Arabidopsis thaliana: one gene and its partners. The protein of the gene in region 2 interacts with the protein of the main gene of each other region in a pairwise test. Each region holds a gene or a part of one and is shown on either strand. Other genes may lie near its edges.

Region 1 (7,776 bases), on a different chromosome or scaffold from region 2:
TTACAATTTCAATGTTCAACATAAAAGCTTTTACGTGGTATCTTTTGTAATAGAGATGCTCCTAAGATATTAATGACACGCGAGTTTCTAAGATATGAACTAGACAGTAGCCTGTAAAAAAAAAAAAAAAACTAGGTAGTAGCCTAGACCACAACGGAACATTTAAAGTTTAAAACTTTTTTTAGTTTAATTTTGATAACATATATGATTTCATATCCTGTACATAATCCTCTTTCGATAAAATTCTGATATTACCCAAAATTTGGTTTACATATGATAGTTTAGCGGATATTATTTGTTTGTCGAGCCAAAAAAAAGAAAGAAAGAAAACAATTTTTAGTTATTACGTAATTTATTTGATGACTATAAATTATTTTAATCTAAGAAATATATTTTTAAATATTTATCTTGTTTAAGTGATGTTCTCATTCTTTTTATCTAAGAAATATATTTTTAAATATTTATCTTGTTTGTGTTATAAATCATATATTTTTTGTTATTGATCAAATACTTTCTTAAACAATAATTTATAATTTATAACACAAACAGGATAAATATTTAATTCACGTAGTTATTTAAGATGTGTGTATAATAACCTTATACATCACTTAATTTGCACATAGGGGATTAGCAAAAAAACAAAAGTGATTTATAATTGTGGCGTGATATATAGTTTGAGTTTAGTATTTTCTTGGCTATGCTCTTTACTTCTTTAGTTATAAATATTAATTATACGCTACATTTATAAAATTATAAATCGATATTAGAAGATATATGATTGGATTGAAACTATAAAATCATGTCTTCTTTACAAAAGCTACATCTTTTTTAGCACTCACGGAATTATACTGCTCAACAGAGTCTCTACGTTGAATGACTAGTCTTCTTCATAAGCAACCTAGCTCATAATGGAAACTCCAAGAGTTATATTAAGCTCTTGAGCAATTGTGTCTGTCTTAAATATTAAAAGTCTTAAAAAAATGAGGATCTTTGCACCATTGTCATTGTTTAATTATCTCTCTGTGACCACGAACACGGCAAGCTCTCAGATTATTCTTATCATCTTGTCTCCATAATTGTCTATTATTGCTTCCTTCATATTCTCTAGAGTACATAGTCATAGATATGCAAGATATATATAAGAACATGACAGCTAGGAGTAACTTATACTAAAAGAAAAAGCTGGAGGCTATGATAATCGATAGATTACACAATGATGGTAGGCGAATCATGTATTCGTGGACCTCGCGGTACGTACATTTCTTCCTAATATGTATCTATTTCCGTAGCGTTCTATTGTTTAATGGGGGAGACAAAGAAACAGATGTTGCAGCAAAATACACTAGATAATGAAACATGACAGAAGAGAAATCAAAATAAACAAAAGAGTTTATTCACCAAATGATTAGAATTTGGTCATAAACAATGAAATAGACTAATACCAGAATGTTGACCACTTATAAATCTTCTTCATGATTCCATTAACGTTGTCCTCTGTTTTCTTGTCCCCCTCAATGATTTGGTTTGTACTTTGTAATTCAACTGATAATTCACAAATACTCTGCACTTGGGCTGCTTAGTGTTAAAACAGAGCATATAAGAAAAGATTGTTCAAGAAGATAATAGTCTCTTCTTGCAGCCAAACAAGAGAAACGATCTCTTTATTCAGATACTCTGCCTGATTTAATACCCCAAACATATAGCGTAATTGTCAAAGCAAATATGATTTGCTTGATCTCTCAAGCAACAATCCCAGGCAAGATCAATAACCAAAATTGTTCACAAGAAACAATCTTTACTCAGATACTCTGCCTCATTTACCCCAAACAGATATTGCAATTGTCAAAGCAAATATTATTTGCTTGATCTCTCAAGCAACAACCCAAGGCAAGATCAATAACCAATTATGGTATTCACAATAGCTCATAAGAACAGAGTACATGACACTGAAGGCAAGAAGCTGATACAAACAGAATAATAGAATATGACTGTTCATATAGAAACACAGCAACAACTTTCACCCAATCAATAACTCGAGTGTTAAGGAAACCTTTAGAAATCTCAAGTGACAATAATATTACCAACAAAGTTACTATTATAAATCACTGCTGGTCCCTTAAGAATCGAACAGCATATTTCGAAACAAATTCATTGCTTTTGGAGTAACACTACTTCAAAAATGAAATATGGACTTGCATAAAGAAGAAAGTCGGTAAAGCTCAGCTAGAGGATACCATTTATGGAACCAAGCCTTGTTCTTTAGCTTTTTTCAACCATTTCAAGGTAGTTTCAAGTGTAGAGTACGCAGAAGCATCTGACAAACTCTTGCTATCAACTGCATAATCAAACACTTCATAAGCCTCTGCGACCTTGCCACTTTTAACCAGAGACCTCACAAGTGTAGCATAACCATTACTCTCAAGCTTTACACCACTTGATTTCATCATTTCATATAACTCCATCCCTTTATCCATCAACCTTGCTTTACACAATCCATGAAGCAAAGTATTATAAGTACAATCATTTGGAGCACACCCTCTTGCTTCCATTTCTTCTAACAAACTCAACGCACCTAAAGACTCACCTTTTCTACACATTCCATTCATCAGTGATGTGTAAGTAGCAGTATCCGGCTCATACCCCGCATCAACCATAGTTTTCAAATACATCCTAGCTTCCTCAACTCTACCAGCTTTCGACAGTCCAAATATCAAAGTATTGTAGGTAATCTGATCTGGCTCAACACCTTCTTCCTTCATTTTCTTATACACACCAACCGCCTCACTCCCTTTACTCAGTGTGCAAAAACCTTTCATAATCGTGTTATAGAGGAAACAATCCGGCTTAAACCCAGCATTACCTAACTTACTAACTAGATACATTGCCTCCCTCAAGTTCTTAGAGTTACAAACATTATCAATCAAGATAGTGAAGCTAACAAGATCCGGCTTAACATCGAAATCATCTCTCATCTCATCAACAAACTCATAAACAACATGAAGATCTTTGCATTTGCACAAATGCTTCAGTAGAAAGTTATAAGTATATGTATCCGGAGGAGAGTGTTTCTCAGTGAGCTCCTTCATCAAATCCTTAGCTTCATCAACCCGACCCGTTTCGCAAAGAGACCTCACCGCGATATCGGTAGTTACTTGATCAGGCTCTAAACCATTATTAACCATGAGATTAAGAACTCTATGAACATTCGAAATCGACGAATCAGGAGCTCTACAAGCATGTGAAAGCAAGATAAGGAACGTTGAACGTCCCGGCCTGAAATTAGGCTGCGATTTCAAAATATGCTGAAAGAGTTTCACCGTATCGTTGACGACGGCGATTGAACCGTATGATTGAAGAACAGAGTTGTGGAACTTGAGATCGAGTGGGATTCGTGAAGTGGCGGCGATTGAATTGAAGAGGCTTTTAGCGTCTGAGAGATTTGGTGACTTGAATGGATTCCTCAAGGAGGGCTCGCGAGGGGCTTGAGTATTCTGGGGAAGTTTGGCTGAATCTCCTCCCACGGCGGTTCTGTTGCGAAAATCTCGCGGCGGCGCTGGAGGAGATGGTGTTGTTTTTCTGACCAATAAGTTCGCCGGCATACTACGAAACGACGACGGAACTTTCCCCATTTTTTGTTTTCTTTCGATTGATCGCAAAAAGGTTTTAGCTTTAGGGTTCTTGCAGAGGTTTTTGTGACTCTGTTGTGTTGAAAATGGACAGAGGACGGCGTATAGTAGTTACACTCGTGTACTCTAGTTGCTTACGTTAGCAAATGAGAGAAACCGTGGCAAGACATTGGGCCTATTGGGCTTGTTAATATCGGCCCAAAGTGTGGGTGAAGATGCATTTTGTCTGTTGTGTTGAAAATGGACAGAGGACGGCGCATGGTAGTCTGTTGCTTACGTTAGCGAATAGGAAAAACCGTAGAAATACATTGGGCCTATTGGGCTTTTGAATGGTAGCCCAAAGTCAGTTTGTGCGATAGCCTCTCTCCCTCAAGGCCTCAACACAGTATTTTCTTTGCTTTCTGTACAAGTTTGTGGGCAAAGCCCTAAAAACAACAATCTTTCCGCAAAATGTTCTCTAAAGAACCGAAAGATCTTCTGTGTTTTCTCAATAAACCCCATACAAGAACATTGTTCTACAGACCAAATCAATAGAGATTAAAGAAAGGTTTTGTAAGGAAGAACACATTTTGTATGAATTTTGAACATGTTCAAGAGTTTGTGTTCACCTCAATATCTAAGAGACCTTTTTTGTATGACTTTTGCAATTCTTTAATCAACAACTACAATTTTGTTGATTTCCAAATGACCAAATGCAGAGATTTATCATTAAGAAACAAAACCTCAGAATTTGTTTTATTAGATAACTAAAAACGAAATGAAATGTTCTAACACAAAAGTTGTCAAAGGGCTCATAAGGCTCAAAGCTACATTCTCTTAGGATTAAAACTTACTCAACAAACAAAAAAAAAAGATTAAGCAAAAGTGAAACAGAGCCATTTCTTGACCGCTGGTTTATCACCATCTTGTTTCCTCTGTGAATTCGTCTTCGTCGAACTCCGTCCCGTCTTTTTATCTTCACCGGCTTTGCTGAATATCACCGTGAATCCATCCGCCGTCGCTGGATCATTCACATCCCATTCCCCGAATTTCGGCAATGCCCTTCCAGCTTCATTCGACGCCATTATCGATCAAGAAAGTAACAATCTTCTTCTTCTTCTTCGTCCTCTTGTTGTTGTTGATAAGTCAGATGGTTTTGTTTAAAGATTCTAACACAGGATGCAGATTTATTTATAATGGAGAGAAGAGAGAAAACAGATAAGTAAGATTGTGCTTTGAAATCTTCCTACGAAATGGACTCGTTTCAGACACGGCGGAATATTCTTTTGGCTACTTCTTTCTTTTTTTAATGTCTTAAAATCTTTCTGAGGCACAAAAATAACAAAATCGTTGGCCTTCCGCGTAACAAATCTAATTATAGCCAAATCATATCCATGGCTGATCTGTTTCTTCATTTTCACGCGGTGGTTTTATGATTCTCTGATCTTTGTTTCCTTACATACACACATGAACCAGAGACTAAGCTTTTTTGTTTCTTACATGGCGATTACAAGCTACCCATTTCATCAGCTTTCTTCCTCAGAAGATACTTTTGTACTTTCCCCGTCGAGGTTTTAGGTATGTCCCCGAAAACTATAGTCTTTGGAGCCATGTAATGCGGCAAATGATCTCGACAGAACCCGATAATCTCCTCGGGTTTGATGGTATCAAATCCTTCTTTCAGCTTTACAAAACCGCAAGGAGTCTGTCCCCAGTGATGATCTGGACGTGCTACAACAGCAGCTTCAAGAACCGCTTGATGGCTGCACAAAACTCTCTCAACCTCCACTGAGCTTATGTTTTCTCCTCCTGAGATGATCACATCTTTTAACCGGTCTTTTATCTCTATGTACCCGTCTGGATACTTAACAGCGAGATCACCACTGTGGAACCAATCTCCCTCGAAAGCTTTTCGTGTTGCCTCTATGTCCTTGAAATATCCACTCATCACAGTGTTTCCTCTGAACATAACCTCACCCATGGTTAAACCATCATCAGGGACAGTCTCCATTGTCAGCGGATCTTTCACATCGAGCCCTTCTAGACCCAAATGCTGCACTCCTTGTCTAGCCTTCAACTTAGTTCTCTCCTCCAACGAAAGTGAATCCCATTCAGGTTTCCACACGCAATGTGTCCCTGGACCGTATGTCTCTGTCAAACCATAAAGATGAGACACATTGAAACCTAATTCTTCCATCTTAGCCAGGATCTGCGGTAGAGGCGGTGACCCACCTGTCATGATCTCAACCCTGTGAGGAAGCGGTTTATGTTCAGTCACAGTATAGTTCACAATCATATTCAACACAGTTGGGGCTCCTCCCATGTGAGTCACTTTATGCATAGCAATGTTCTTAAAGATCATCTTAGGAGAGACTTTCCTGAGACAGATATTAGTACCACCTTGAGCTGCTACTCCCCAAACAAGACACCATCCGTTACAGTGAAACATCGGCACTGTCCATAAATACACCGGATAAACAGACATCTGGTGAAGAAAGACTGTAGCAAGAGAATTGAGATAAGCTCCTCTATGGCTATACACTACACCCTTAGGTCTCGAAGTCGTCCCTGAAGTGTAGTTTATACTAATAGGATCCCATTCGCATCTCGGTTTGATTATCTCAAACTCGCTATCTCCGGATTTAAGCAGAGTTTCATATTCGTAATCAAAAGAGTACTTTGAAGCAAAGGTAGATGAGCTATCTTCATCACTATCATCATCATCATTAGACTGAGAGATCAACACAAGCTTCAGACTTTTTCTAGTTTTATCTGATTTAGCAAGAAGATCAAGAGCTCCATGAGCAATCTCAAGTAACTGATGATCAACAAAGAGGATTTTGGCCTCGGAGTGTGCTAACAAAACCGACAATGTGGAAGGATCAAGTCGAGTATTAAGCGGACAAAGAATCAAACCAGCCATAGGAACAGCGAAATGAAGCTCATGCATAGCTGGAACATTCGGAGCTAAAGCTGCAACCTATAAAAGTTTCCTCTTTTATCACTAAACCTAAATCGAGAACCCTAATCAGAGCAGAAAATTGAACAATTTAAAGAGACTAACCACATCGCCACGAGAGATTCCGAGATTGGTAAGAGCAGAGGCAAGACGGAGACAACGTTGATAAGTTTGGAACCAAGTGTGTTTAACGGAACCAAACACAAGAGAGGTTCTGTCTCTGTAAACCTTAGCGGATCGCTCCAAGAACGTGATTGGAGATAAAGGAGAGAAATTTGCAGGGGAACGGAGAAGACCCTCTATAGTTCTCCATGATTCCGGCTCGGAATCGTCGGGAAATCCGCCGGAATTTGAGGTTGAGGAGAAGGGAGAAGAAGTTAACCACAGTCTCTGGAAACGTGGGTTGAAGATTCTGAATGCTCTTTTGGTTAACAAGAATCTCATGGTTAACACTTTGATTTGGCTGTTGTTCGACTTCTCAAAAAAAATTGAAACTTTATTGTATCTGTTGAAGTTTATCAAGACGAGTTTGATGATTCTCTGTTGTGGGAACTCATCAGATAATGACAGTCGTGCTGCCTCGTGATTAACGAACGGTGTGTGATTTACTGAATGGAAAACATTACAAGTTTCAAATTCAATTTAACGGATATATATATACTTTTAAATTGAATGCTTGCAATTTCATATAGGAGTTTTAGTACGCGACAAGTCACAAGAGACATTAATATAAATACTATAGAGAAATATGCTATAAACATAAGACAAGTTGGCATAATTTATGGTGGATCTATCTTCCTTGTACAATATTCATATTCCCCCTCTCGAGGTATACGATTAAGAACTATAGTAATCTTATAAAAAATATTATTCGATCCCTCTTTGATTAAAAAACAATTATCTGATTAAAGAGACCCTAATCACAATTACGAACTTGGACTCAATTACGGTCGCGACCAGATAAGGCCAAAGCCAACAAAAATATATACAAATGAAATGATATGAAATTAGTAGAAGTAGAACCATTCAAAGCGGTGGACACTGGAACACAACACAAACACAAGATCAACGAGAAACCAAACAACAACAGCGACCATCGAGAGAATCCACTAAGAAAACAAAATAGATTAAAAAGGGGTTTCTCAAAGTTTCTCATCATATCCATTAAAGTAGCCTCCTTTTTGCTTTCTCCGTCTCTCTCTCTTTTGTCCA
Region 2 (8,054 bases):
AGATAAAGCTAGGTCTAGTAGTAGAGAGACTGGGAGGGAGAATGAAAGAGAGAGACGTAAGGATCAAGATAGGGATAGAGGAAGAAGAGAAGACCAGAGTGATCAGGAGATCTATAAAAGTGGTGGTGATGGATATGGGGAAGTTAGGCATGATGCAGAAGATGACTTAGATTCTTTAAAAAGCCATAAACCTAACGGTGAAACTCAGGGCAACGTTGAAAGGTCTGAAGTTGATAATGATGATGACGGTGAAGATGTTGTTTGGGGAGTTGAAGAACAAGAAGCTGCAGAGATGAAAAGAATCGAGGAAAGCAAGAGGATTACGCAAGCCATATTGGAGAAATATAAGAAAAAGTTGGAGCAGTCCTCTACTGTGGCAGATGTTCAAGCTAAAGCTGGGTTGGATACTGAGGCCGTAGATGGTGAAGTCGCCAAGCTATCTTCAGCAGTTGGGGAAACACCTGCACGGCTTGTGATATCAGACTCAGATATGACACTAGCTTCCGCAGGCAGCCCAAAGAGTGACATGTTCAGTGATGATATCTTTGGGGAGTCTCCTCTAGCTGATGGTACTCGGAAAGGGAATGCACTTGTTCCTTTTGTAAGGAGTGGACTCAATGATAATTGGGATGATGCAGAAGGTTATTACAGTTATCAGCTTGGTGAACTACTTGATGATAGATATGAAATCATGGCTACTCATGGGAAAGGTGTATTCTCTACCGTGGTGCGTGCAAAAGACACAAAACCTGAGCTAGGTGAACCTGAGGAAGTGGCTATAAAAATTATTCGGAAAAATGAGACAATGCATAAGGCTGGCCAGGCTGAGATTCGGATATTGAAGAAGCTAGTTTGCTCTGACCCAGAGAATAAGCACCACTGCGTCCGTCTTCTTTCAACTTTTGAATATAGGAACCACCTTTGCTTGGTGTTTGAGTCTCTTCATCTGAATCTCCGTGAAGTTGTGAAGAAGATTGGTGTCAACATTGGTCTAAAACTATATGATGTTAGAGTGTATGCTGAGCAGTTATTCATATCCCTTAAACATCTCAAGAACTGTGGGGTTCTTCACTGCGATATAAAGCCTGATAACATACTAATGAATGAGGGAAGAAACATGTTAAAGCTTTGTGATTTTGGTAGTGCAATGTTTGCTGGTGAAAACCAAGTTACACCATATCTTGTTAGTCGTTTCTACAGAGCTCCAGAAATCATTCTTGGACTACCCTACGACCATCCGTTAGATATTTGGTCAGTTGGTTGTTGTCTGTATGAGCTTTATAGCGGGAAAATTATGTTCCCTGGCTCCACAAACAATGATATGTTACGCCTGCATATGGAACTGAAAGGTCCCTTCCCTAAAAAGATGCTTCGCAAAGGAGCATTTATCGATCAACACTTTGATAAGGACTTATGCTTCTATGCTACAGAGGAGGATAGTGTTACTGGAAAGACAATAAGGAGAATAATGGTCAACGTAAAGCCAAAAGATTTAGGTTCAGTAATTAGACGACGTTATGAGGATGAAGATCCCAAGGTGTTGGTTCATTTCAGGAATCTTTTGGACAAAATTTTCACACTTGATCCTCAAAAGAGACTTACAGTGTCACAGGCATTAGCTCACCCATTCATCACGGGCAAGTGAACCTCATAATGTTGTTGCCCTTGCTTGGATACATGTACATTCTATATATTACACAATTAATTTTTTGATTAAGATTCTAAAGAGTGTTATAATGACGATGTTGTTCTTAGAATCATGATTCAGTTTCGACAGTTGAAAAAAAATGTGACGATTTAATTTAAGCTAAGGGTGTGTGGATCAAAATTGCATACTTTTTTGAATTTAGTGGTTAAGAAAATCAATGCTTGATAGGACTGTTTTTTTTTGTCTACATCATTGTTTCATTGCACAACCGAATATACTTTATGTCTGCAAACATTGTTTTGCTTTCAACATCTATTTTCTGAAGACATCGCTTTTCAATCTTTGTATTTCTCTAATATCTTATTTCTTTTTTCATTTTATTTCTACACTTGACATTTCTTTTTAACAAAAAAAAATATATATGAGAATATTTCGTGAATGACTATGATTCTGAATGGTGAAAACTCACGGCAACAAATGAAGAGTAAGAGTTAAAGAAGAGGAAATTGTTATTTAAGCGAATTTTTGTAGAACTTTTGCATATCAAAACGATTTTTAAAGAATTTTAGAAAGTGGTACGTATTAGAAGTGTTCACACACATATATTTATAACATTAAGCATTATATTATTAAAAAGTTATAATTAAGCATATAAATTTAATACATAGATTATAAATAGAGTAAATTTGGAAAAATACCTTTTTCTTCATTTTTACGTTTAAATATGTAAAATCAAACTTAATAAGATTAATAATATCTACGTTACAAATATCAAATCAATTTATTTGTAATAATTAAAGATTTAATTTTTACAAAGTCTTAATATAACTAAAAATTCCAAAAAATTATTATCTTAAATATTATTTTAAAACAATAATGAATAACAACATTCTACCATGGGTATTGGGTACGTGTGCAACACATGTGCTTCCCAGTTCTTACCGTACATTTAGTTTGGTAGTTTGTACGACTTTCCTCATTATATTACACAACGTGATTTTAAATCCGATATAATACATACTATTCACCAATAAAAAAAAAAGGTGAAATCTTCATTGGAAGTACTCGAGATTTGAAAACGATTCAATTAAATTTCGTTATCGAAAGCAGAATTGTAAAATGAGCAAAACATATGATTCTGATTTAAGAACACAAAATAAACAAACATGGGGAAACTTGAAAGCTTCCGAGTTCGATGACCATGCATTGTAATCTTTTCTCTCTTCATTAACATGTATTGTAAATTTGGTTCAGAAACAACTTCAGATGAATTTCTTAAAGAAAACAGATTCACCCATGGATTTCCCGGTTTAAATAAAACGGAATAGAACCCGTAGACCCACCAGCACCTTATGTTTTGTTGTCGCGAGTTGTTCACACATCTGAAATCTTCCCGAACAATGTGACCTCTCCCTACCAAGACGCTCTTAGGAACTTAGACCCTGCCAGTTCACGATGAACCACGTAAGTTCAGTGATCGATTCTAAACATTTTGAGTATGTAACCGCAAGATAATCAAGTTAAAGTTGGAATCTAAAGTGAAACAAGAGAATAATCTAATAGATACTTGGAAGAGGATGGATATCCGAACAGAATATGAAAAGGCAAGAGTAAGATCAAGCATTACTAATACTATTGAGTAGATTATCACACCACAAGCTTAAAATTCATCGTCTTAGAACTCTCATTAAGTAATGTAAATGGATATCGGAAGATCTAGATGTGGTCATCATATGAACATTTAAACAACATTCTATATCAATATTTGTGGACACCGTAAAAATGAATATTCTTGGCATGAAAATCCCTGACTAATATAGTGAACTGTATATGAAAGCAATTGATTTGGAGATCGACGAAGTCTCACTAGTCACATTGTGAACTAAATCGAGTGTCCAAAACAGCATTGAAGGCCTAGAGCAAGGTAAAAAAGTTAACAAAAAGCATTGTAAGAACATGCAGTTTTATCATACATATATGGGAAACAACTATCTAATATGAATTGAGGAGAATTAATCGATCGTATTTAACGACCATGTGTTATTTCGAGACAGAAATGCAATGACCACAATCCACAACCACACATTGGCCTAACCTGTAACTTCATTCAGGAAACAGCAAGTGCTGAATTCACTACTGGCAATGATCAAAAACTATCATTTTCCAAACTCTTTTCATCAACTTATTGTCTTGCAACGAAAAAGAAACTGTAAAAGCAAACTAAAGGCTTCACCATGAGCGAATCAAATTTCAAAACAGAATTCGCTAACAGCAAAAATCATCCAAAACATATGAGCCATTGTTATATTTCTCACTGAATACATACTCTAATACATGACCTAAAACTTTGATTAGCCAACCCTAGATCAATGAACAACTAAATCATCCCGAAAGCAACACAGAATGATAGAAAGTTTAAAAGGAGTTGTAAGAAACAAACCTTGAGGAACCGATGTTGATGTTGTTCCTATGAAGAATCCTACCAGGAGCAGCGTCACCACCATCGATCAACTCTCTAAGCCCCAAATTCTCCACCTCCTCTTCTTTCATCTCCTTCTTCTTCTCCTTCTCCACACGGCGGTTATTAGGAAGCTTCACAGGCAACCTCTCGAAGTAATTCCCGTAGATATACTCAGGCGTGTACCCATTCTCTTCATCAAACAACATGATATGACCATGCCACTCCCAAACACGATAATCCGATTCCTCATCCTCATGAAACCCAACGCAGATGTGGTGTTCGTTGACTGTCACGGCTTGACCTGAATTCGGCTTGAGAGAATCGCTTCGACCAGAGACGATGACTCGGATTAGCTCTTTCTCAAGCCTAGCTTCTTCTCTGTCGAGACTGGTCTGACCTTCTCCGTCATCATCGCCGTCGCTGTCGTCGGATTTGAAGAGGAGGTCGTCTAGGGATTGAGAGAGGAAATGAGAGTTAGGGGGACGAATTTGGAGACGTCCAAGTAGGGTTTGGATTAGGAGGTTGTCGATGTTGCTGTTTCCATTGAAGGAGCTCATCGTTGATCACAAATCGAATCGATCTTCTTCTTCCTCCTCCGATTTTCGTCCTTCTTCTACCCTAAGAGGAGAAGAAGATGCTCTCTCGGGTTTTAGGGATAGGAAAGGGTTTTTGGTTTTGCGATGACGGTTCATTGAGGTAAACGTGGTAAATTTCAGAAAAGGTAAGGGCTAAAATGGTAATATTCATTTAGATAGCATCTGATCACAGATTTGTAAATTGAACTATGGAATTTAGTTGGTTTTAACAAAATTTAAGCAACTTGGGATGGAATCTGAAAGAAAAAAAAAGAGTATACTAAAAGAGAGAAAATTAACACGTATAACATATTGTGAATAAATGACATACTATAAGGTTTTAGGGAGGAATCTTCATCTATTCTTTGATGTATAAAAGATCTAATAGAAGAATAAAACTCAAAAACAAATTGATTAAGATGAGAAATGACACCAAAATTTAAAAAGTGATGACCACAAATGAGAAAAATCCCTGTTTTAGTCTTTGATTATCGGTTTCATACGACAAAAAAAAAAAAGAATTATCGGCATCATCTACCGGATTCATCAGAGGACATACACAACAAATATATCCTTTGAGAAGCCTGACATTTATATGTATATTTATATTTGTGAATAATGCAGTTGTGAGCTTTCATTCCATTGCTTGAGGTGGTGATTCAACGTCTTAGGTTCTCCACGACGTAGTCTGCATAGAGATCCCTACATGACACAAAAGAGTTGTCCCAATTTGATTAGTTAGTTATTCTTTGATATAAACAAATTGCGGCTATTTACAAGGTCATAATATATGAAGTAAATAACAGTAAGTTTCATGAAGGCTACTTACATGGAATGCTGAACTGCGTCGTAGGCTGCAGTTGCCGGAAGGAAGTCGTTAACGGCTACTTCCTTGTTCTCGTTTTTCTTATCTGCAACAAGATTACAAGAGTATGAGCCTCATATCATCCTTAACCAACCAAAAGTTTGTAAGAAAAGAACACTCACAGTCTTCAAAGAAACGGCGGATCTCAGCCATACGATGAGGCGGAAGCTCACTGATGTCGTTGTAATGGCGATACTCTGGATCGTCAGCGCAGACAGCAATGATCTTGTCGTCTTTCTCACCCTATTCAAGCAGAAAGAGCTTCTAGTTTCAATCTCTGTTACTTTTATAAGTACTAATATGACAAGTACGTTGAATATCTAACCTGATCAATCATTGGCATCAGACCAATAGCTTTGGCCCGAAGAAAGCATCCTGGGATCACCGGTTCCTGTAGAAAATATTCAACAAGATTCACATGAGATGTGTTTTCTACCAGTCAAATAAGACAGACTGAGATGCTGATGATGCTTATAGACTTGATTGATTAATAAGAGGTTTTAAATTCCAGAGTAAACACTAGAAAATCCACACTCTAAACAATATGCTGAGACACCTTTATAAGCCTAGCAGCCACTAACTGCTCGATAACTGACTGGCAACATTTCTCATCTGCTACATTCATTCCTAAGCTACACAGTTATAAAGTAGAGTCTATAGCTAAGAGTTGAGCGCTTGAACTTCTTCAAAGCTTATCAGATGCACAAATCAAAATAGAACAAGAAACATTATGTAATGAATTATGCAGGTTCTCAAAATTGTATGAAAAAATATGTTACCTGCATAATGACAAGAACATCAATAGGGTCACTGTCCTCACAAAGGGTACGCGGAATGAACCCATAGTTGTGTGGGTATACGACAGATGAGTAAAGAATACGGTCGACCTGAGAATATGTGTAAAGTTTAGACAATCGTACCTCTAATAATGAAAGGGACAGCGAAGAAAGTTAATGCAATCAAATTTATACCTTAATGAGACCCGTAGTTTTGTCGAGTTCATATTTCACCTTGCTCCCTTTTCCTATCTCAACCACCTGTAATAATGCCTCCGTATGCTTGGTTAATGATTCCCACAACAATATCTCAAAGATTAAACCCATAAAATGGTTTCCTAATCAGGCGATGAACATCATTTCATATGCTACAGCAGACTCAATTCAGGTTTCAAGATATATAGCCAATGAATGTTTTAATTTTCTTTGAGTGAATGCTACAAATATGTAAATTCTGTAGAAATAGTAAACAACTGCAGCATCTCCGAATACGCATAATGGCAGTTTTGTGACAATATAATTAAATATTTTCAATCCTTAGAGCTTTAGCAAAACACTTACACAATTGAAGATAATTGGGGCTTCAGGTCCTGTAAACAAAGGAATGCGAAGCAAAAAAGGTATAAGAGTTATTACTAAAAAACAATGAAATGATCTTAGAGCCAAAAAAAAGAAAAAGAAACCTTTACGTATAGCTTACCTATCTCGAGATCATGCCATGGGTGTGCAGCTACTGATCTGTGACTCATGGACGAAAGTATCCTCTCATTAAGAGTAGGAAGTGAAACATGTTTCTCAACGTAGCTTTTGGTAGAAACCTCAATCGGTGGCGCCATTGCTGCAAAACAATGCACATAACAATTCATAAACAGAACAACAACCATAATATATGCATCTCTGAAAAGCAACAAACACAAAATATGGGCTCAAACTTTACAAATGTTTTAGTTCCCCTAGATCATGGAAGATAAAACCATATTTTCATGAATTATACTAAAGATCTCTGTGCATAAAATAAGTTAAATATATAAATAACAATCTTCAACACCTGGGGAAATCAATTGAATACACACAACGCAATGGTGGACACAGAGACACAAGATACAAAATCTAATAAAGAGAAAGTTACAGAAACGTCCAAGAAACGCATAATTTTTGCAGCAGTTCACGAATCCATAAATGTCTCCACCGACAAAACCGTTCCCACATGTGTATAAAGCGAGCAAAAGATCAAAATTTTATTTATACAAAAAAACAGGGCACTCTCTTGAAATCATCTTCAGATAAAAAGCAATGGGCCTTAAGAGAAACGAGCAAAGATTTTCTCTTTAATGGAGTTTGATAATCTAAAAATGTAGATATACATCACAAAGATTGAATATTTTGGAACCCAACTCAGATCTACAAGTCACAAAGATCTCTCGGGGGAACAAAAAAACTCGTTCATGGCTTATGCAAACAGATTAAAGACACCCAATCCCAAAACCCTAGAAACCTTCCGAGGAAGAACAAATCCGATTGAAAGAACATTTCGAAATCCGTACCTGAACAAATCGACAAATCTGAAATCTCCCGAGATAAAGTGTCGTCGAATGAAGAAGAAACGCAAGCACAGATCTCAAGAAGGATAACCCAAAGGAGAGAGAGAGAGAAGCAAGTGTAGAGAGAAAAGCTAAAGGAGAAGAAAGCTGTGACTAAACGCGTTCCCGCTCTATGTCTCTGCTTCTGT
Region 3 (8,049 bases), on a different chromosome or scaffold from region 2:
TGTGACCGATGATGTCACCCATTTGAAACTGACCAAAAAGAAACTTAAAATTTCAAAAGTATTAAACACTTTGAATTAATCTTAGAAGAAGAAGAAGAAGAACATTGAGAGAGACTCAATGGAAATGTTTCTTTGTTGACAAAAGAAAGAAGAGAAGAGGTTTTGATTGTCCCCAACTTCTGACCTGAATCTTAACTATAAATATTAATGGGTTTGGAAAGTAGAAGGAGAGATGATGACGACAAATTTGGTTTTATAGAAAACTAATTATTATGTTGACAACAAAGAAGAGTTTCAATGATTTTATTATTTGAATTTGGTTTCATCATTACTACGAGGATGAAACGAGAGTTACACACCCTTTCATTTCAAATTTTCGAAACAAAACAAAAATAATCATATCATTTTCTACTTTGGAAAGTGTTTTTTTTTTACCATTATTCACATAAACCGCGTGGTAACCGTGAGGTAACGCCAATATTAATGAAAACTACTAGACTATAAAGTTTTACTATTAGAAGCTTTTGTTTGTTGCAATTATTCATATAAACCGTGTAGTAACCGTGAGGTAACGTCAACATTAATAGAAACTATTAGACTATACATTTTTTTACTATGGAAAGGTTTTTATTGTTATCTACGACTCACATATTTTCTACAACCACGTAAAATTCACATGCTAATTTGACATTATTTGACTGATTTTTTTCATTTTTAAACTGAAAAATCATGCATCAAAGTCCATGGTAATATATGGATATTTACTTCCAGAAGAACTAGAAGTATTTTATATTGTTTTGTTATATTATATAGAGTTTCTAAGAAAGATTAAGGAGGTCATGTCGGGGAGTGGGTTGAGTTGTATTAAGTAAACGCCTCTCTCATATTTTTAATGACATTTTTTAAAATGTTTAATGCTTTAATTTAAATTGTTCCTTAAACTTAAAAGAACTATAACTTTGACCTAAACTACAAACTAATATTTTTATCATTTTGTTGTGATTTTTTGGCTATACATCAATTCTATCGAGAACACATAAAACTAGTATCAAAACAAACCACATTTTATCAATTTGTTGTTATTTATAAGCGAATTTTGTTTCGCATTACTTGTTATTGATTGTCTCATCCTAGTATTTCTTTTATATATAGCCAATCACTTTAATTCGTATTTCTTCAATGAGAAACCAAAACTTTTCGAGGATTGAGTCTAATTTTGTGTAAACTTGTATTTTAAAAGCTCTAGCTAACTATGATATAAAAATGGGCAGAAGAAAAAGTAACATTTATTAATTATAGTCGTCTACTATCCCATAATCCATATCTCTCTCTATATTTTTAATTTTATTGAAAAATAAGGAAAATCAAACGACCAACGACGCCACTTCTTCTTAACAACCTTCACCAACCAACCCAAGTTCGTCGAACTTCTTTTAAGATGATTTTATTAGTTGATGATCTTTACCTCAAGTGGGCTCTCTATATCAAGATTAGTCGTGAGACTACATGACTACTCGAGGAGATAAATTTAGTAATTAATAATTAGTATGGGCGGCTAGCTCTAGCCTGCCAATTATAGTTTTACAATTAACCATCTACTTCAATTAAAATAAACCGAGGAATAAGATTCAAACACATCCAATGCTAAGGTTTTATGGATACCCAAATCTAGTTTACCTACCAGCTTTAAAAATGCTATAATAATTGGTGAATAGTAGAGCCATGAAAATGTTCATGTTTTAGGAAAAAATTATTAAGCTTTATGGATATGGGTTTATGGTTAAAATAGTTGACTAAGTGTTTGGAGGTGAACAAATCCACTTTGGACACAAGTCTTTGAAAGCTTACATAAGCTTACACAAGTCATAACTACCCAACAAGAAGAGTCGAAGTAGGTTTTTCAGTTAGTCAACCTCTCAAAGATCATTTGACATCATCAGAAGAACTATAGAGAACCAAAAATATAAAACGAGATTTTAATCATATTAAATTCTGAAAATTAAAAAACAGGAAAAATCATATCTTTGTAGCAACTTCATTCCTTAGCAGCTTTGAACACTCTCCTCAAGGTCTAAATGTCCGAGTAAGTGGAATGTTACTGCTTCAAGACGAGTATCTCGATTGGTACGGACTTGAGAGAACGGTTTCTGTATTCTTCGGTTTGTGGAAGTTGCAGACTGAAACTAACTCTGTAGCTTTCATACTAAGAAATGGTGGACGAGATTTCAGTCACACGCATTTGACTGGTTAGTCTTATAAGCTCCTTAGTCTCTTCATCTAACTCTACATTATCCTTTGCCATTCGCTCTTCAACTATGAGTGCCATTTCCCCTGCTTTAGCGTATGTCCGTAACAAGGAATTGTAGAGCTGAGTGTTCACATAACCAGCCTTTTGGAGCAGAGTCATTAGCTTCTCTGCTCCTTTAACATTCCCTTGTTCCTCAAGTTCCTTGCACGCTCCTTTAACCAATCTTACATTCACAGTCCATTTCTTCACAGAATCAATAGCTTTCCCAAAACAATCTAATACTTTCTCCATGTCTTTACGCTTCAAATAAGCCCATGTGAGAATTTCCCATGTAGAATAGCTCGGGTTTATCCCTTTCTCCACAATCCGTTCGTAAAACTTTTCTCCTAGAAGAACCTCATCTCTGTTCATGTACTCAGCAAGGATTAGATTCGGGATTCTAGCATCTCCTGTTCCCGAAACAGATTCCCATTCGTCATACAAACCTTTAGCTTGTTCAAACTCTCCAAGCTTCACAACCGCAGATATCATACTGAGATACTCCGCATCATTCATTTTCTTGAAAGAAGACTTAACCTTCTTCCAGGTTAAGTTCACTCCATCTTTGTCACCCAAATTCGCATGCAGACTAATAAGAGAAGCATAAGCAACCCGGTTCTTCTTAGAAACCAACTTCTCCATCTCCTTCAAAGCAAGTCTCGCCTTTTCGACATTATCAGTCTTAGCATACAAATTCGTTAACACACTATAAGTCACCCAATCCGGATTCAACTTCTCTTCCTTCGCCTTAAGATAAACTTTCTCCGCACCCTCGACATCATTTCCAGAAGCAAACGCAGTAAGCCAGAGATTATAAGTAACAATATCAGGAGATGTTCTAATCTTCAACTCCTTAATCAACACAGGGACTTTCTCAAACTGTCCTCTCGATATATACATCGATAACATATGATTGTAAGGCAAACAAGACTTCAAGAAACCACATTCACCCATTTTCTCAAACAATGCCTCAGCTTTATCAGACAACTTGTTCTGCACATAGCTATGTAAAAGAGATGTACACGCAGCATGACCTCTCATTTGATCTGGCATATCTTCGAAAAACTTCTCAGCACTGTTTAAACCACGGATTTTAGATATCAAATCCAAATGTACAGCATAATCACCTGCTTGTAGCTTTATATCTTCCTGTACAACCATCCATTCACATATCTACACACACACACAAAAAAAAAAACATTTTACCACTTCGCAGAGTTTTCACAATCGAATTCAAAATTGAGAGAAATTTCACGAACCTCAAGAGCGTGTTTATAGCGTTTGATCTTACGAAGCTCTCTAACGATACGATTAAGTTCGTATTTGCGAACGGAATGGCCTTCTTCTTTCCATTTACGGATAGTAACAACGGCGCTGCGTTTCGTATACACAAGGCTTAGTAATCTCCCTCCTAGAGTGTCTCTTCCTCCAACTACCGTTTCTTTTTTGTTGGCCGATTCTCCTCCTTTTCCTCCTCCGCTGCGAGGCTTCACCACGGGTGCCGTCGCCGTGTCCACAGTCGCGGCGGCGGCGGCGGAGAAAAGGCGGTGAATGGAGGCTAGGGTTGGCCGGGCAGAGCGAACCAACATGTTTTTATTCATTTTTGTTTAGTTTACTGAGCTCTCTCTCTCTCTCTGCTGTTTGAGTAATTTGCTAAGTGAGTGTGTTTGAGCTATTTCTTTGTTGGGCCTTGTCTCGGCCCAATCTAAAACCAAAATAAAAGCAGTACATAAAAGAACTTTCAAAATTTTCTCTCAGTCAATAAAAATCATTCTAAAATTAGTAGTCATTAGCCTTATCAAAACTGCAACACTTTGGTTAACTTCACTAGTTCACTGTTCACAACAAATAAGAACTAATTTTCCTCGTCAAAACGTGATTTCACATTTTTCGCTAAATACGTAATTCCATAATTTTCCCGCCAAAAACGTGATTCCAAATTTTCCAGTCAAAACTTGATTTCACATAATCTCGTCAAAAAGTGATTCCGTAGTTTCCCGTCAAAAACACAATTCCATATTTTTTTCCATCAAAACTTGATTTCGCATAATCTCGTCAAAAAGTGATTCAACTTGAATTAAAATATAAACATGATTTTTTTTTTATAACATTAAGTATATGGAAAATACATTTTCTATATTGAAAATAAAATAAAATCGAATCATCAATATACCAAATAAGATGGGTACATGATGAGATTTGCTTTAGATTTCGGTCAATTATAAGCGGAGTCAAGTGGCATGTTATATATAAAGAATCGTAATGTTCTCTTATTCGTTTGCAGAGAACAAAGATTGCTCTTCACATTTGTACGTAAGATTGGACATTACATCGTAATGTTGTCTATTTCTCATTGGCTCAATCATATACTTGCAATCTATTTTGATATCACTCCGAGATTTATATAGTACGAATTTGGTCGAGACAGAGGGAAGAATATCAAGAAAGTAGAGAGATCGTGTACAATGGACCTACAAATTATATGTTCTTATTCAATTACGTCCGTACGAGCAAGTGTCTATAAATATGCACACGTGACAGTCAAAGAGTTTGGTCTACAATAATAATGTTAAAGTTATTCGCATACTCATAAACGACATTTACATTACTTAATTTTGTTGAAAATTGTAGAAACCTTTAGTTCTTATAAAAGACTTAAATATGAATTAATGACCATTTGATGGACTGATGGTTGATGATAAAAGTGTGGTATCCCTTGGTGCTACTAAGACTAGTGATGACAATAACATTGACATTGACTGCGCTTAGAAGCACAAAGATGTGTTGCAAACTAGTGTAGATGATGTTACCAAAATTTCAATGAAGTTTTTTGAAAGATATCATATAGTTTTCGTCAGTCTCACTATTACTGGTACTTTATTACCCTTTTTAAAACTATAGTTTCACTCTCGTTAGTCTATGAAAACATAACTAAAACTCTCGTTAATAATCAAAGGTTACCTATAACATACTAAAAAGTAAAAGCAGATAATGAAGATTAGTTCTCTATGTTGTTAAACAGTTTAAGTAACAATTAACTCACATTTTAGCATTTATATATGTAGAATTAGAAGCCGTAAAAAATAATTATTTGCTGAGTTGAGTAATTCCCATTAAGTGGTCACCCAAAATTGCTGCTGCTTCCAATTAAGCATAGTTTTAGGCTCACATCCATTTTCATTGCATCTCCTTTTTGGCCTGTTGCTAACCTTTTTATTTCCACTTTTACCCTCAAAGTTCTCATTATTCCCCACAATGCCCTCCTCGTCCTCTTCTTCTTCTTCTTCTTCTTCTTCTTCTTCTTCTTCTTCTTCTTCTTCTTCTTCTTCTTCTTCTTCTTCTTCTTCCTCTGCATCGTATTGATCATCTTCATCTTCTTCTTCAAACTCTTCTTCTGCGTCTTGGCTATTCAATGAATTCTGTGATAAACAGAGACGAAGCCTTCCTTCACGACGTTCAGATACAAAGCAACGAGGTGGAGAACAAACCCTAATTGCTTGAACAACAAGACGACCGTCTTCTTTATACGATTTCACCATACGGCTATTGTTGAATCCGTTGACGGAGTTTAGCGGCGGAGGAAAACTGTTCTCACGGGTCATGAAGCTAGTTTCTTTTTGAGGTTTCGTAGTAAGACGAGGACTCTTTGAAATATTGGTTGCTTCAAGCGCAAGTAACGACATCTCGTCTCCACTATCACTCCCATTCTCGGTCCCGAGGCTCTCTGTGCACATCTCAAGGCTCAGTTTAGCTACGGAACGCTTCTCGATCGGGTAGACATAAGCTGTTTTCTTTGTGTCGTCTTCTCTGTTCTGGACAATGCCTTTTGGCTCAGAGAAATATTGCAAGAAACTCCATCCACCCACGTCAGGATTTTGGCTTACTTGCTTGGGAAGATGTTGGTAAGCTTGGCCAACAACGATGGACATTTTTTGTGTTGTGTTAAGAGAGCAAAACAGAGCAAACACAAAGTAAGAGAGAAAGAAGAAGAGAGTTCGAGGAAGAGTATGGGTGTGTGATGAAGATGATGGGAAGTAGAAGGGATGAGTTTGTATTTATAATGCGGTTCTACTTTAGATTGGAGATTTATTTTATGATTTCCAATTAGTTTCTTGAACATTTATTTATTTAATGTAATATTAGTTGGATACGTGGATTGGTAAAAAATAAGAATTCTGAAAACTCAATTACATTAAAAGAAAGTTTTTTACAAATTACTACTACCAAATATGGTAGAATCATCATTATTTATTTTTAATTTTAATATTTTCTTTAATCTTTTTTTTTTGGCCAAATCTTTTTTTTAATCTATGATTTACGTTTAATGATAAAAATATTAATATTATATCACTTCATTCGTTTATAAACTAAATTAACTTTTTGTTTAGTGTATTTTGTTATTGTGATTCATAAGTTACTTAGACAGGATTAAACGAACAAAAAGTTTGTTATTATGACTTTATGAGAAAACTATATTAAACGAACAAAAAGCTTTCATTATGTCAACGAATTATAAGTTTTAATACTAGTTTAAGGACAACAAGGAAAGGTATCATTAGAAATTTAAATATTAGTGATTATTATACTTTTAGTAGCCGGAAAACGAATATCGATTTATTCTAGCAACCGTGGTCTGAAAACTATTTCAAGTTTTCTTAATACTTATTTATTTATTCCAAACTATCCTATTTATTTCGGTCCAATGAAGTCTCCAATAAATAAAACATAAACATCCAGTGACTATAATTTAATATGTCTGAGTGACTGAACACCGACCCACACGTACACACACTAGAATGTTATCAAAATTATTTGTTTACATCATTGATCATTACATGTACTAATGTGTAATGGATATTGTAGTCTATAGAATTTGCTTAAGTCATTTGTCAAAAAACCTAGATGCGTATAATAGGTTTTCTTGATTTGATATTAGAACATGAGGTTCTTTGACAAAACAAAAACAAATATGAGGTTCAGAGGTTAAATCAAGTAGAGTGGTTTCATAACGAAATTTGATTCTATATTGGTCGGAAAAATCATTATTATAGCAAAAACATTTTAAAAATCGCATACCAAACACTAGGTGAGAACTGAGAATTATAGTAACATAATATGCACTAATTATTCATTGATTGTATTTTGGGTTTAAATTGAAACTATCAAACATAACCACGAAAATTACAAGCTCTGATCGATTAAAAACATATATAATAGTCCGTAATTTATGTTCAGCACAAAAATGGTGTCATATTGAAGGTTCACCAACCTATTGCCTATCAATAAAAGAAAGCACTTAAGCTACTTCTTTTTATAATTAAACTTTATTAAAGTTGTGGTATATTATTTTGTCCACGATCGCTATGACTCTATGTGTCTACAAGATATATAATTCAAATGTTGTAAATTATGTGATTTTTTTTTTTTTTTTTTTGTGCACAAATTATATGATGATTTATTTACCCTCTTAACAGATAAAAAAAGTGTTGCACAAAATAAAACAGATAAGAAGTGGCAGTCACTCATCGAAATGCTAAATAAATAGTTGAATAATACTAGAATAATGGAATGCTATTATTGGAAAAAAAACACTCAAAACAAGAAGAAGTTTTCAAGTAGTCTAGTGGTTTTACTCTCATGAATAATAAAAAGAAAAAAGCATTTTCTTGTCGTCTATAATTAGAAGAATTTTCTATTTAGGGAAAATAAACAACAACCAACCAATAATATTCTCGGTAGATGCCAAATTATAAAATAATAGT

The links. The genes of interacting proteins can lie anywhere in the genome.
Region 1: the proteins of AT3G53630 (region 2) and AT2G17670 interact in a two-hybrid assay, tested with the Arabidopsis thaliana proteins (one large-scale study listed by BioGRID).
Region 3: the proteins of AT3G53630 (region 2) and AT4G02820 interact in a two-hybrid assay, tested with the Arabidopsis thaliana proteins (one large-scale study listed by BioGRID).

The regions. Positions count from the first base shown.
Region 1 is NC_003071.7:7,670,273-7,678,048, reverse strand, and holds AT2G17670 (Tetratricopeptide repeat (TPR)-like superfamily protein), read right to left. Parts: upstream 3,731-7,776; 5' UTR 3,630-3,730; coding exon 2,238-3,629; 3' UTR 1,773-2,237; downstream 1-1,772. Other genes in the region: AT2G17660 (RPM1-interacting protein 4 (RIN4) family protein), read right to left, coding at 4,481-4,690; AT2G17650 (AMP-dependent synthetase and ligase family protein), read right to left, coding at 5,113-6,585, 6,670-7,008.
Region 2 is NC_003074.8:19,880,598-19,888,651, reverse strand, and holds AT3G53630 (uncharacterized protein), read right to left. Parts: upstream 4,792-8,054; 5' UTR 4,667-4,791; coding exon 4,089-4,666; intron 3,563-4,088; coding exon 3,460-3,562; 3' UTR 3,091-3,459; coding exon of another isoform or gene 3,084-3,090; 3' UTR 2,714-3,083; downstream 1-2,713. Other genes in the region: AT3G53640 (Protein kinase superfamily protein), read left to right, coding at 1-1,645; PPa4 (pyrophosphorylase 4), read right to left, coding at 5,344-5,386, 5,514-5,595, 5,672-5,792, 5,875-5,940, 6,329-6,436, 6,521-6,586, 6,887-6,915, 7,026-7,161.
Region 3 is NC_003075.7:1,254,420-1,262,468, reverse strand, and holds AT4G02820 (Pentatricopeptide repeat (PPR) superfamily protein), read right to left. Parts: upstream 3,938-8,049; 5' UTR 3,889-3,937; coding exon 3,547-3,888; intron 3,461-3,546; coding exon 2,204-3,460; 3' UTR 1,773-2,203; downstream 1-1,772. Other genes in the region: AT4G02830 (uncharacterized protein), read right to left, coding at 1-22; FAF1 (FANTASTIC four-like protein (DUF3049)), read right to left, coding at 5,401-6,216.